Linked DNA regions of Xenopus tropicalis. The protein of the gene in region 4 purifies or fractionates together with the protein of the main gene of each other region. This does not show direct contact. Links are inferred from orthologs where the notes say so. Each region holds a gene or a part of one and is shown on either strand. Other genes may lie near its edges.

Region 1 (2,877 bases), on a different chromosome or scaffold from region 4:
GTCAGTTCCACTGGATGCCAGGATGGTCTCATTATGTGGGGACCACTGGACCTGCTCAAAAAAAAAAAAATTATGAAATCTGTTATTTCTAGCTATTCTGCATTTCACAATATACATGTCAGGCTTACAATTTGTGCACATTATCTCAAAATAGTAACCCTTTATGAGAAGACAGCTACAGACTGTATTACGTCAGACCCAAGTCTTATAGGGTCAGATCAAAGTGACAAGTGGGGTTAAAGTCCTTTATACATACTTCCATTTTGCCTTCATTTGCCCTTAAAGCAGACAGTGTAAACCATTTTGTTCCCTAAAAGCTATGATAAAAAAAAAATTCAAGACAATACCTGGAAAATTTCATCTTTGTGAGATTCAAATGAATGCAACTTTAATTTCAGATTGCGTAGGTCCCATAATGCAACAGTCTGAGAGAAAGACGAGGGAAATATAGTGTAACGTTAGAAATCATTTGGTAGGAATAAAAAGGGCCCTTAAAAATCCAGATGCATCATGCAAAACACATTAGGCCAAACAAGAGCAAAATATATACACTTGAATTGCACAGACTACTTGTGATCCTATCTAAAAGTAGCTGTTTAAATCTGTCTACAGCATGAGGCTTAAAAAAGTACTCATACACACTAATTTCCAACAGCTTTCCACATTGCTTTGTAAAGTATGTATTACAACCGACCCTTGCTTTGAAAGCAGGCCACAGCAGGCCATGTGTTATTTTGTACGACAACCCCACAGTAGTTAGAAATACTACAATAAAGCTGGCCTGAATCGTGACCAGTAACGTAATCAAGTACACTTTTTTTTTTTACATTTAAAGTCTGTGCCCAAAAAATGTATTTGCAAGAAATGGAATATTTTAAATGGTTTTCATTCTACAGTTCATTTGGCTTGTGGCACTTGGGGGGCAGATTCTTAACCTCGGGAATAAGTGCAGGCCGAGAACCTGCCCCCTACACTCTAAATATATGGAAGCGGCTGTTCGAGCATGCAGTTTCGGGTTAAAATATTACGCAAAATATGGTACGAAACTGCATACGCAGTTGCTCTGAATTCCACTTTCATCTGCAGGCTTGGTATCCATCCCACGTGGCACTAGTCTATAAGAACCACATTCTTCCTGCTCAAGAAAAAAACCCACTGTATTCTACACAGCTATACAAACTTGCACCTTTTAACTTAAATGTCCTTTGAATGCATCCTAAAAACTAAATTTCTTTGGTACAAGGGACACGTGATACAGGATTCAGAACTTTACTAATACACAAAAAAAGTCAGTCAACATATGGTAAAATGTAATGTTTACCTTGTCAGCTGACCCAGTTGCCAATATGAACTCGCTGTAAGGGTTAAATGACAGACAGTTGACTTCAGCTGTGTGAGCATCCACAGAGTGGCTGGGCTTTGATGTGTTGTTTGATCGGGTGTCCCAGCTGTTAACAAAAATAGGACTATCACTCCAGTCTTAAGAAAGGCAATACAATAAGTTCCCTCTGAAGAGGCAATAAGCTTTAGCTGACGAAAGTTACTTTATAGTTTTGGTTACTGCTGGCTGGCTTGGGAGCTAAGGTGGAGGTAAAATGAAGGTATACATATGGTAATAGGCAAAGTTCCAGCCAAAATGACACTGGTGGGGGTTTGGGAGCAAAACTAAACTTCGTGCCTCTGCTTGTTTGGCACTTCAGCTAAAGCCAGAAAACAGCAAAATGGAAGTACACTTTTTCATAATTTTGAATTACATTTTTAATTTGTCAATAACTACAAACAAACAACAACAAACTACTAAACAAGTTTAAAAGTGCCTTTACAGCACTGAAATTCACCAGTACTGCACAGTCAGAAAGTTCCCAGTGAGTGCTTCATTTAATAATGATGCAAAATAATTACACAGAAGTAATATAAGCTTAACATACCATACTTATTTAAGGGTTTCCTCTTGACCCTTTATCACACTAAGGGGCCCATTCACGAAACCACAAATTTTTTTTTCCATATTTTTAGCTTTTAATATTAACTCCACTGGCTATTCTTTAATTTTGGTTCTCATCCACAATTATGAATAGACTTCTTCCTTCTCCACAGCATTAAATCTGCATAAAAAATGTCAATGATCTATTGCCTTTATTCATTTATTTATGCAGTGGCAGACTTCTACCTAATTTGAACGTGTGCGTAGAAAAAAATTTTTCCAAAATAATTCCAATAGAGAACTTAAAAATAACCCATGTGTACTATTTAACAACCAGAAACTGAGGTTTCATGAATGGGCCCCTAAGTGTTGATTTTTAGGACAAAAAAAATCCACCCAGTATGTGCAATGACAAGCAGATGCCGTTTCTATCACTGAATCAAGCCATTCCATTTTTCTCCACCAGCATAAAAAAAAAAACTTTACATTTACATTAATGTTATTCAGGAATTTGTCCAGTAAGTACATAAAGGATTCATAAATTAAATCCAGTTACTCTAAATGCAATTCAACTGCTTTAAAAGAGAACTAAACCCTAAAAATGAATATGGCTAAAAATGCCATATTTTATATACTGAACTTACTGCACCAGCCTAAAGTATCAGCATCTCAATAGCAACAATGATCCACAACTTCAAACTTGTCAGAGGAGCTCCCCATCTTGGAAAGGGTCTGCGACACCCACATGCTCTTTGTGATCTGGGCAGCTGAACTTAGGGGTTGTTGCAAATTATCAAGCAAAATATAAGGTCGTCATATAAGTGGATACCACAGGGCTGATTATTACATTCTGATACTAATTGCACTGGTTTTAAAGCTGCCATGTAGTAATTATTTGTATTAATTACTAATACATTATATATATTTATCAATTAATTATAATGCAGCATATA
Region 2 (2,759 bases), about 48 Mb from region 4:
AATAAGCTGTACCTCCATACTGTACTGTCTAAGGGAAACACTATGGCACCCCCTACCCATATGTATAAATACAAATATACAGAGAGGGAATGTTCTGGGCACACAATAAGCTGTACCCCCATACTGTACTGTCTAAGGGAAACACTATGGCACCCCCTACCCATATGTATAAATACAAATATACAGAGAAGGAATGTTCTGGGCACACAATAAGCTGTACCCCCATACTGTAACTGTCTAAGGGAAACACTATGGCACCCCCCTACCCATATGTATAAATACAAATATACAGAGAGGGAATGTTCTGGGCACACAATAAGCTGTACCCCCATACTGTACTGTCTAAGGGAAACACTATGGCACCCCCTACCCATATGTATAAATACAAATATACAGAGAGGGAATGTTCTGGGCACACAATAAGCTGTACCCCCATCTGTACTGTCTAAGGGAACACTATGGCACCCCCTACCCATATGTATAAATACAAATATACAGAGAGGGAATGTTCTGGGCACACAATAAGCTGTACCCCCATACTGTACTGTCTAAGGGAAACACTATGGCACCCCCTACCCATATGTATAAATACAAATATACAGAGAAGGAATGTTCTGGGCACACAATAAGCTGTACCCCCATACTGTACTGTCTAAGGGAACACTATGGCACCCCCTACCCATATGTATAAATACAAATATACAGAGAGGGAATGTTCTGGGCACACAATAAGCTGTACCCCCATACTGTACTGTCTAAGGGAAACACTATGGCACCCCCTACCCATATGTATAAATACAAATATACAGAGAGGGAAGTGATGCCCCGGTAGATGTTACTCTCAGGCTTATAACTTGCTGTATTTTTCCATATGTTAAAGCGCCAACAACTTTGCCATGAAGGGGAAGCGGAAGACTCTAAACGCGACTGATGTTTTGGCTGCAATGGAAGAGATGGAATTCCAGCGCTTTCTGACACCCCTGAAAGAATCCTTGGAAGGTACCAGTCTCCTCCTTCTACTCCACCCTGCTCTGTACTCTTGGCAGGGAAGGTGTTAAGTTAGCAAATGGACCTGGACTGGCAATCTGTGGGTACTGGGAATGCCAGGGGGGCTGTAAGGTGCCACAGACAGTCACTATTTATTGGGCTGGGGGGGGGGCTGTTTGTGCCTCTGGGTACTGGGAATGCCAGGGGGGCTGTAAGGTGCCACAGACAGTCACTATTTATTGGGCTGGGGGGGGGCTGTTTGTGCCTCTGGGTACTGGGAATGCCAGGGGGGCTGTAAGGTGCCACAGACAGTCACTATTTATTGGGCTGGGGGGGCTGTTTGTGCCTCTGGGTACTGGGAATGCCAGGGGGGCTGTAAGGTGCCACAGACAGTCACTATTTATTGGGCTGGGGGGGGGGCTGTTTGTGCCTCTGGGTACTGGGAATGCCGGGGGGGCTGTAAGGTGCCACAGACAGTCACTATTTATTGGGCTGGGGGGGGGCTGTTTGTGCCTCTGGGTACTGGGAATGCCAGGGGGGCTGTAAGGTGCCACAGACAGTCACTATTTATTGGGCTGGGGGGGGGCTGTTTGTGGCTCTGGGTACTGGGAATGCCAGGGGGGCTGTAAGGTGCCACAGACAGTCACTATTTATTGGGCTGGGGGGGGGCTGTTTGTGGCTCTATGTGAGAATCCCACCTTATGTGTGTTTGTGTAACTGCCCCCAGCCGTGCATGTAATTGTTATCCCTTTACCCCCACCCAGTTTACAGGCAGGATCAGAAAGGCAAAAAAGAGGCCACGGAGCAGAAGAAAAAAGACAAGGAGAAAAAGGCCGACTCTGAGGATCAGGACAAGAGTCGTGAAGAGGAGAATGAGGATGAAGATGAGAAGATGGAGGAAGATGAAGTTGTGGAAGAGGAGGAAGTGGAGAACTGAGCGCAGGAGAGCATGATGGGACTGTGTGGCCCCTCGGGGGGACCTTGTTTTGTCGCGACACTGACTTCCTGATCAGTCAGGCTTTATGGTTGTAATCATTTACTGCATCGCTGCGCCACTCTTACCCTCCAACCAAGAGCTGTGGGCACTTATTCTCCGGGTTGCACCCAATGCCATTCTGTAGGGGCATCCCCATGGCAACCACGTGGCACAGCGGCAGTGCCCAGCGGGCAGCTTTATACACGGCCTTTGTAGATAACTGGGGAGTGTCATATTAAATGTTTCTTTTGTTACACACGCGGCCTTTGTCTGTGGCGCCTCCTGTGTGCTGACCCAGGCACCTGTAGGTGGGCGCCTCCTGGGTGCTGACCCGGGCACCTGTAGGTGTGCGCCTCCTGGGTACTGACCCGGGCGCCTCCTGGGTACTGACCCGGGCGCCTCCTGGGTACTGACCCGGGCGCCTCTAGGTGTGCGCCTCTTGGGTACTGACCCGGGCGCCTCTTGGGTACTGATCCGGGCGCCTCCTAGGTGGGTACTGACCCGGGCACCTGTAGGTGGGCGCCTCCGGAATCCTCTCTCTATTATAGTATTTAGCTGTTTCTTATGGAAATCCCCCCCGGGGTCAAGGGCAGAACCCCTTAATGTGCCCCCATTGGAGGCAGTTGTTGCCTTTGCATGTCGCTCTCTGCAGCCTAATGCGCACTGACAGTCGGGCATGGGAGCCTGGCACACAGGGGACATGTTATGGTAACAAATCCCCCCCCGGGGTGCCACGCCCACAAATGGCTTCAGTTAAACAGACCGGACATAACCCGGCGGGATTGGGAAGAAGTTT
Region 3 (4,266 bases), on a different chromosome or scaffold from region 4:
GGGGGGGGACTTTATCTTTGAAATCACACGTAAACCTTCACAAAAAACATTTAAATATGCCGCAGATGGCTGTGCCCAAAGCTTAATGATTTCTCTCTCTATTCTGCTTCCCTACAAAGTAAAGCTTGACATGTAAGCTGGTTGCTAAAGTCAGTGACCTTAGCAACCAGATTTTGGCAACCAAAGAGTAGTTTATATCTGGACTTTATATCTATCTGGACTATATATCTATCTATCTAGACCTTATATCTAGAACACCCGTCTGTAAGTCGCCGACCCACTTAGGTTTAAACGCTATGGGACAAGGACCTCCTTTCTGGTATCTGGAGCACCCCAACAGGGTGGCAGCGCCAGACAAGCACCCCATATGCCATAAACCTGTCACTGGTAAAATTTGGGTGCCTCTAGAAATGTCCCCTTTACTCTTTCTATTTTGTCCACCAATCCTATTTATGGTTCGGAAGACCTATATTTAAGTTTTTCTTTTCTCTCTGTTGCATTGAACGTGGATCCGACTCCAGATGTTACAGGTTCAGCGGACAAAAAAAAAAAAAAAAAAAACAAATTACATGGTGTTACATCATCCAGCACCCTGGCGCTCAGGTACAAGAGACCAACGAGGTGCCTAGTGATTACTGTAACCCTCCGGTAAAGGGGAAGTAAACCCAATACGGGAGAAGCAGCTGATTAACAAACAAGGAGAATAGATTTCTGCTACATGGCTTCAAGAGTCAGAACCAGTGGACAGACAGCAATGAGAGTAACACATATAAACCCAGGGAGAATGAGGAATGAATGGGTATTGGGGAAGTTGTATCAGGAGTCAGAACCAGCAGTGCAGGGAAGGGAAAGGGACAGACACAGTGACAGTTACACATAACTATAAACCCAGTGAGAATGAGGAATGAATGGATATTGGGGAGTTGTATCAGGAGTCAGAACCAGCAGTGCAGGGAAGGGAAAGGGACAGACACAGTGACAGTTACACATAACTATAAACCCAGTGAGAATGAGGAATGAATGGATATTGGGGAGTTGTATCAGGAGTCAGAACCAGCAGTGCAAGGAAGGGAAAGGGAGGGACAGACACAGTGACAGTTACACATAACTATAAACCCAGTGAGAATGCGGGATGAATGGATATTGGGGAGTTGTATCAGGAGTCAGAACCAGCAGTGCAGAGAAGGGAAAGGGACAGGTACAGTGACAGTTACACATAACTATAAACCCAGTGAGAATGCGGGATGAATGGATATTGGGGAGTTGTATCAGGAGTCAGAACCAGCAGTGCAGAGAAGGGAAAGGGACAGGTACAGTGACAGTTACACATAACTATAAACCCAGTGAGAATGAGGAATGAATGGATATTGGGGAGTTGTATCAGGAGTCAGAACCAGCAGTGCAGGGAAGGGAAAGGGACAGACACAGTGACAGTTACACATAACTATAAACCCAGTGAGAATGAGGAATGAATGGATATTGGGGAGTTGTATCAGGAGTCAGAACCAGCAGTGCAGGGAAGGGAAAGGGACAGACACAGTGACAATTACACATAACTATAAACCCAGTGAGAATGAAGAATGAATGGATGGGTATTGGGAAAATGCTTAATATATATTTCTGGGTTTATATCCCTATTGAAATAAAGACAGAGCGGTCGCCGTGCCCCAGGTACACGGATACGGGGTTAATCCTATGGGCATTTAATGGCAATTCTCACTGACTAATCGCATATCCCCCTAATCCTGCGGCACGGAGAGAACTCGGGCAAAGTACTCAAGGAAAAGTTTAACCATTTCTATTTAATTCCCAGAAAAATAAGTCTATCCAAGCACTTGGGCGCCCAAGACACCAGCAGAACGAATGGGTTTGGCCCCATTGTGTTTCCCATATTCCAGTGCCACAGGGCTATAAAGTCTCCCATTAAACTGGTAGTCAGTGCAGAGACGCCCCTGTGTGGGTTGTAGAACTACCAATCCCAGCATCCTCTTGGGAATTGTAGTGCAACAACAGCTGGCTTGCTGCAAGCACTTACCCTTCACATCAATGAGCAATGAGTTACACTCAAACCCACTGGCTACATTTAACCCCTGTTATGCTGCTAAAAGCTAAATAAGACCGTACTATCTTATGGGGGGGGGGGGGTTAGAGAAATCTAAATGAACTATGGGGGGGGATATGCAGGGCAAATAAGGTAGAATAGGACTTCTGGGGGTCCAAGAAGTTTAGATATATGAGCAAATAGGTAGGGAGGGCACATTACTGAGAGAATAATATTGGGAAATCGAATTATTGGAATAACGCAGCTATTGCCCCGGCCCTCAGGCTACTCAAGGGGTGCTGGGGATATACCATCAGACAGGGGGTGCTGGGGATATACCATCAGACAGGGGGTGTTGGGGATATACCATCAGACAGGGGTGCCCCATACCCAGGCTGCAGTCTCTCAGTCCCAGGGAAAGTTGCCGCTCAGTAGTAGCAGGTACCCCCCCCCCTTATCTCCCAAGTTTAGCCCCAAACTCAAAGCGCCATCGCCCCAAACTCGTAACGCCGCCCCCGGCCCAGGTGTAGCCTCCGCTCCCGCCCCCAGGCCCCCGGGCCCCCCGGCCCCTCACCTCTATCTCGAAGTCCGGCAGCTGGAAGGCGGTGCGGAAGAGGGAGCAGAAATGCGCGATGGCGGGGACCCGCCAACAAGAGCGGAGCTCCCCCAGGGCACCGACCGGGGGCATCCCGAGGCAGCACCCCGAGCCCGGCTACAGCGTGTGGGGAGCTCCGGTACAATGTGATCCCCGGCCGGGCTGGGAGCAGATGGAGCGGGGGAGGGGGCTGGGGAGGGAGGAGACTGGGGGAGGGACTCGGAACCCACTCCGGGCACACTACTCACTCATATACACTCACTCACTCACTCCCTCCCTCACTCATATACACTCACTCACTCACTCCCTCACTCATATACACTCACTCACTCACTCATACTCACTCACTCATATACACACTACTTACTCACTCACTCACTCATACTCACTCACTCACTCCCTCACTCATATACACTCACTCACTCACTCATACTCACTCACTCCCTCACTCATATACACTCACTCACTCATACTCACTCACTCACTCATATACACACTACTTACTCACTCACTCACTCACTCATACTCACTCACTCACTCCCTCACTCATATACACTCACTCCCTCACTCATATCCACTCACTCACTCACTCATATACACACTACTTACTCACTCACTCACTCATACTCACTCACTCACTCATATACACTCACTCACTCATATACACTCACTCACTCACTCATATACACTCACTCACTCACTCATATACACTCACTCACTCATATACACACTACTTACTCACTCACTCACTCATACTCACTCACTCACTCATATACACACTACTTACTCACTCACTCATACTCACTCACTCACTCCCTCACTCATATACACTCACTCCCTCACTCATATCCACTCACTCACTCACTCATATACACACTACTTACTCACTCACTCACTCACTCATACTCACTCACTCACTCATATACACTCACTCACTCATATACACTCACTCATATACACTCACTCACTCACTCATATACACTCACTCACTCATATACACACTACTTACTCACTCACTCACTCATACTCACTCACTCACTCATATACACTCACTCACTCATATACACTCACTCACTCACTCATATACACTCACTCACTCACTCATATACACTCACTCACTCACTCATATACACTCACTCACTCATACACTCACTCACTCATATACACTCACTCACTCACTCATATACACTCACTCACTCATATACACACTACTTACTCACTCACTCACTCACTCATATACACTCACTCACTCATATACACTCACTCACTCATATACACTCACTCACTCATATACACTCACTCACTCATATACACTCACTCACTCATACACTCACTCACTCATATACACTCACTCACTCATATACACACTACTTACTCACTCACTCACTCATATACACTCACTCACTCATATACACTCACTCATATACACTCACTCACTCATATACACTCACTCATATACACTCACTCATATACACTCACTCATATACACTCACTCATATACACTCACTCACTCATATACACTCACTCCCTCACTCATATACACTCACTCATATACACTCACTCACTCATATACACTCACTCCCTCACTCACTCATATACACTCACTCACTCATATACACTCATTCACTCA
Region 4 (3,572 bases):
AAATATTTGAAAAGATGCAAAAGACTGATACAGTAGTCATAACACAATAAGAAAGGATTGAGTACACGTTCTTAAAATGTACAGGGGCGCTAAGGGCTCTAACAGTAAATCTGCAGACAGAAGTTGCTTCTCTCGGGTTTATGTATAAAAAGTGCATAAACGCTATCTGAACTTCAAGAAATAAATATAAATCTATTGCAGTACATGTGTGTAATCCAACTCCTGTCCACCTATCACCTTGTCCCATTGTGAAGTGATGAATTCTGGGACTTGAACTCCTTTTGCTATCCATAGCGGGTGGTGCATGAATTCTCTGAAAAGTAGTGGGACTTCAAGTGCCAGAAGCAATCGCTTCACAATGGGATAAGGTGATGGAGGGGTTGGATCAGTCTGTAAGACTAAAGGCGGGGTAAGGAACTGGTCTGTAAAACACAAGTAGACGATCATGGTTTCCACTAAAACGGAGGAATTAAAAAACACATTTCTGTTTAAATCTGGAAGTTAAGATTTGTGTACCTTTTCTACATAAGCCCAATTGAATGAGCTTATGACAAAAAGGGGGGGGGGCCATATAAAGAAATATATTCCCTTTAAATTCTTCAAGCAGAACTGATAATTATTTTAGAGGGGAAGTACACACCCTTTTCAGCATGAGTTCATGTGCTAAACACACTTTTTCCTTAGTATTTTAGGGAAAGGCATTTGGCTCGGAACATTAAATATGTGTTTATAGTGATTTCTAGAAGGTAGGCTGGAGGTTTTCACTTTTTGGTGAATTAATGTGGGGATTAATAAGAATATTGTTCTTTGTTGTGTTTAGATTGCAAGGTACAAAGCTCCTTTTCATCAGCTGAGAATCCAGTACGGCACAAACAAAGGCAAAAACTATACAGAAGAAGAGGACAGGTTTCTCATATGCATGCTTCATAAAATGGGCTTTGATAAGGAAAATGTATACGAGGAATTACGTCAGTGCGTGCGAAATGCTCCTCAGTTTAGGTTTGATTGGTTTATCAAATCAAGGACTGCCATGGTAAGCATACTTCTATTTTAATTGCTTGATGTAAAGCTTCAGTTTCTGTTCATCATACTAATTGTAGTGAAGTGTCTTCCCCAGAAATCCTGCATAACTATGTACTTGTTTATAGATCCCCACTTATCTGGTAGTTTTGGACTAGCAAAATTCCAGATTATAAATAAAACACTGTTGTTACCCTACTTATAATATGAATTAGCTCTCTAAAACTATATCCCCAGAATGAATACTTAACCAACAGATAATTTGTATAATATTAAGTGGCCTGTTAAAGAGCATTACCACACTGGAATATGAATATGAATAGCAGTTAATATTTCCGTTCTTCTATTTTTACTTGAGCCACCGTTTTGTGATGGTCCGTGTTCTCCCTCAGAAGTCACCTGACAGGAAATAATGCACCTGTAACAGGAAGAAGCGTGGGAGCAAAAGACAGAACTTTAAATGAGCTCATGTGACCTAGCATGTATGTGTGTCCAGTAAATTGTATGCTCCCAGCGGGCAGCCCATAGTACTTAAAATCACAATTTTCTATTTAGGGCTACCCAAAGCACATACTACAGTACTAAAAAAGTATATTTTTATGAAAATGGTTTATTTAGCTGAAACAGTATTTTACATATGAGCTTATTTATGCAATATATTAATGTAGAGACCTACATTGTTCAGGGGAAGAGTTTTGCTTTAAAGCTTTTCCTCTAATTGCTGAACCTCATTATTTTTTATCTCAGTATCTGAGCATTCATATAATGATCATTTTTGACGTTAACCTTACAATTTTGAAATCAGAACCATAGAGCAACTCAATCAAATTTCTATGACTTTTCTATACTTAAATACATCTTTCCAGCACATAAACCCCAAAGCACTAACCGATGACAGGGCAAAAAGAAAAATGAGAGCGGGCCACAGCTATCACTTTATTTTTATTGTCAAAAATGTCTCAAAGTTTTCAGCTCTGTTTAGTAAGCAAATATAAATAAATGTCTCGCTTACAAGTGAAAAACTGCTGAAAGATTTAAACCTTGCCACTGAAATGTGTGCCTATTGGAAATAATATACAGAGGGAGAACATATTTTTTTGCTGTTTAAACAATAAGATTGCTGGAAACTTTTACCAAACTGCTCTATAGATTCCATGCAGATTCAAGTTTTGTAAATGTCAATGTTAATCAGGAGGAATGGAGGAATTAACCAGTGTTAATCAGATGGAGGAATACCATGTACTTATCAATAAATCTAGTGACTTGTTTGAAGGCCTTATGAGCATATAGTAAGAATAATAAATAGCTAATTTGCTTAGAAAATTTGATGGCAACCATATGATGTAATATTTTTTTATTATTTTATACACATTGCATTAACATTTAAGTGTACTGTGTACATTATAAGAAGAAAAACATAAATATAGTGTGCAGGTTTTGACCCATTTAACTACTCGATGCACTAAAATATCTCACAGTATGTGTTTAGTGTATTCTAATTAACTAAGGTTTATTGGGAATTGCAGAGTAGTAGCATTTTCTACACTGGCAGAACATTCTATATTAATATTAATCTCCATTTGCTCTAGAGGAATAAAGTTAATATGTAATATAAAGTTTTATTATAGCTTTCTTTGTCCTTTTCCATCTCACAGTGGGGATAGGAGAGTTGAAATAGGGTTATACAAACTATGAAACTTTATTTTGGCATTAATTGAACATAAGTGGGCTTAGTGCCTTCAATTCAATGTCAATTGGTGTAACTATAAAGGAAAAGGCCCCTCTAGGTCTGCTTCTGCTATGGCTGTAGAGAAATCCCCCCTCCTCGGGTGCTTTCCTACCTTAGAGCAAGCAGGGAGAGGGGGACATGACCAGATGGGGGGATGTGACCAGGCAAGTGTCATTGTGTATGTACTGGAAGGGAAGGGGCAGCTAAAATAAATAAGGGACATATTTGTTTCAGTTATAACAGGAAATAGGGGATAGAGGGGGTAAGTATTGAGGCATACTTTGCTTTAAAGGAGCAGTGTAAATAGAAAAAGAGGGGGTGTGTTTTTGTATATTAATTATAATTTAACACCCAGAAAACAGGAAGAAGCTGTAGTAAGAATGAATAAAATCCCTTTTCCTTTCTGTATCACAGAGAAGCCAGATTACAGTTTTACTTGAAGAGATCACATTCAAGCTTATATCCTGGAGAATGGCATTATGGGTAGTAATAATGTAGTTATAAGTAGCAATCTGCATAGTTGTCAGTTTAAGAAAAGGTTAGATGCCTTTTTAGCAGATAAGAAATACATTACTGCCCAGTTACATTAGGGAACGAGGAAGATTTTTCTGCAGCAGACTGAAAACTGCTTAAAAGATTCAGTTTTTTCACCTTCCTCTATCAGTAGAAGTTGAATAATAATAATAATAATAAGGCCAATAAAATGGTGGCAAACGTTTTACTCTTTTAATTTAGTCTACTAAGGTTTAATTTGCTGACCCCAGAAGAAAAATCAAGGAGGCCTATATCTACATTAAAGCAAGCACTAACCAAAAACCAGGAA

Evidence for each region.
Region 1: the proteins of smarca1 (region 4) and rbbp4 purify together in Homo sapiens (affinity purification with mass spectrometry; 5 studies listed by BioGRID and IntAct, with this or other methods). This does not show direct contact. The link is inferred for Xenopus tropicalis from reciprocal best matches to the Homo sapiens genes SMARCA1 and RBBP4.
Region 2: the proteins of smarca1 (region 4) and pole3 purify together in Homo sapiens (affinity purification with mass spectrometry; 3 studies listed by BioGRID and IntAct, with this or other methods). This does not show direct contact. The link is inferred for Xenopus tropicalis from reciprocal best matches to the Homo sapiens genes SMARCA1 and POLE3.
Region 3: the proteins of smarca1 (region 4) and cecr2 purify together in Homo sapiens (affinity purification with mass spectrometry; 3 studies listed by BioGRID and IntAct, with this or other methods). This does not show direct contact. The link is inferred for Xenopus tropicalis from reciprocal best matches to the Homo sapiens genes SMARCA1 and CECR2.

What each region holds. Positions count from the first base shown.
Region 1 is NC_030678.2:90,302,052-90,304,928, forward strand, and holds part of rbbp4 (histone-binding protein RBBP4), read right to left. Parts: intron 1,449-2,877; coding exon 1,322-1,448; intron 426-1,321; coding exon 348-425; intron 55-347; coding exon 1-54. UniProt on the Homo sapiens protein: Core histone-binding subunit that may target chromatin assembly factors, chromatin remodeling factors and histone deacetylases to their histone substrates in a manner that is regulated by nucleosomal DNA.
Region 2 is NC_030684.2:2,374,127-2,376,885, forward strand, and holds the end of pole3 (DNA polymerase epsilon subunit 3), read left to right. Parts: intron 1-880; coding exon 881-999; intron 1,000-1,751; coding exon 1,752-1,924; 3' UTR 1,925-2,219; downstream 2,220-2,759. UniProt on the Homo sapiens protein: Accessory component of the DNA polymerase epsilon complex. Participates in DNA repair and in chromosomal DNA replication.
Region 3 is NC_030679.2:8,775,252-8,779,517, forward strand, and holds the start of cecr2 (cat eye syndrome critical region protein 2), read right to left. Parts: upstream 2,869-4,266; 5' UTR 2,730-2,868; coding exon 2,616-2,729; intron 1-2,615. UniProt on the Homo sapiens protein: Regulatory subunit of the ATP-dependent CERF-1 and CERF-5 ISWI chromatin remodeling complexes, which form ordered nucleosome arrays on chromatin and facilitate access to DNA during DNA-templated processes such as DNA replication, transcription, and repair.
Region 4 is NC_030684.2:50,389,258-50,392,829, reverse strand, and holds part of smarca1 (probable global transcription activator SNF2L1), read left to right. Parts: intron 1-820; coding exon 821-1,033; intron 1,034-3,572.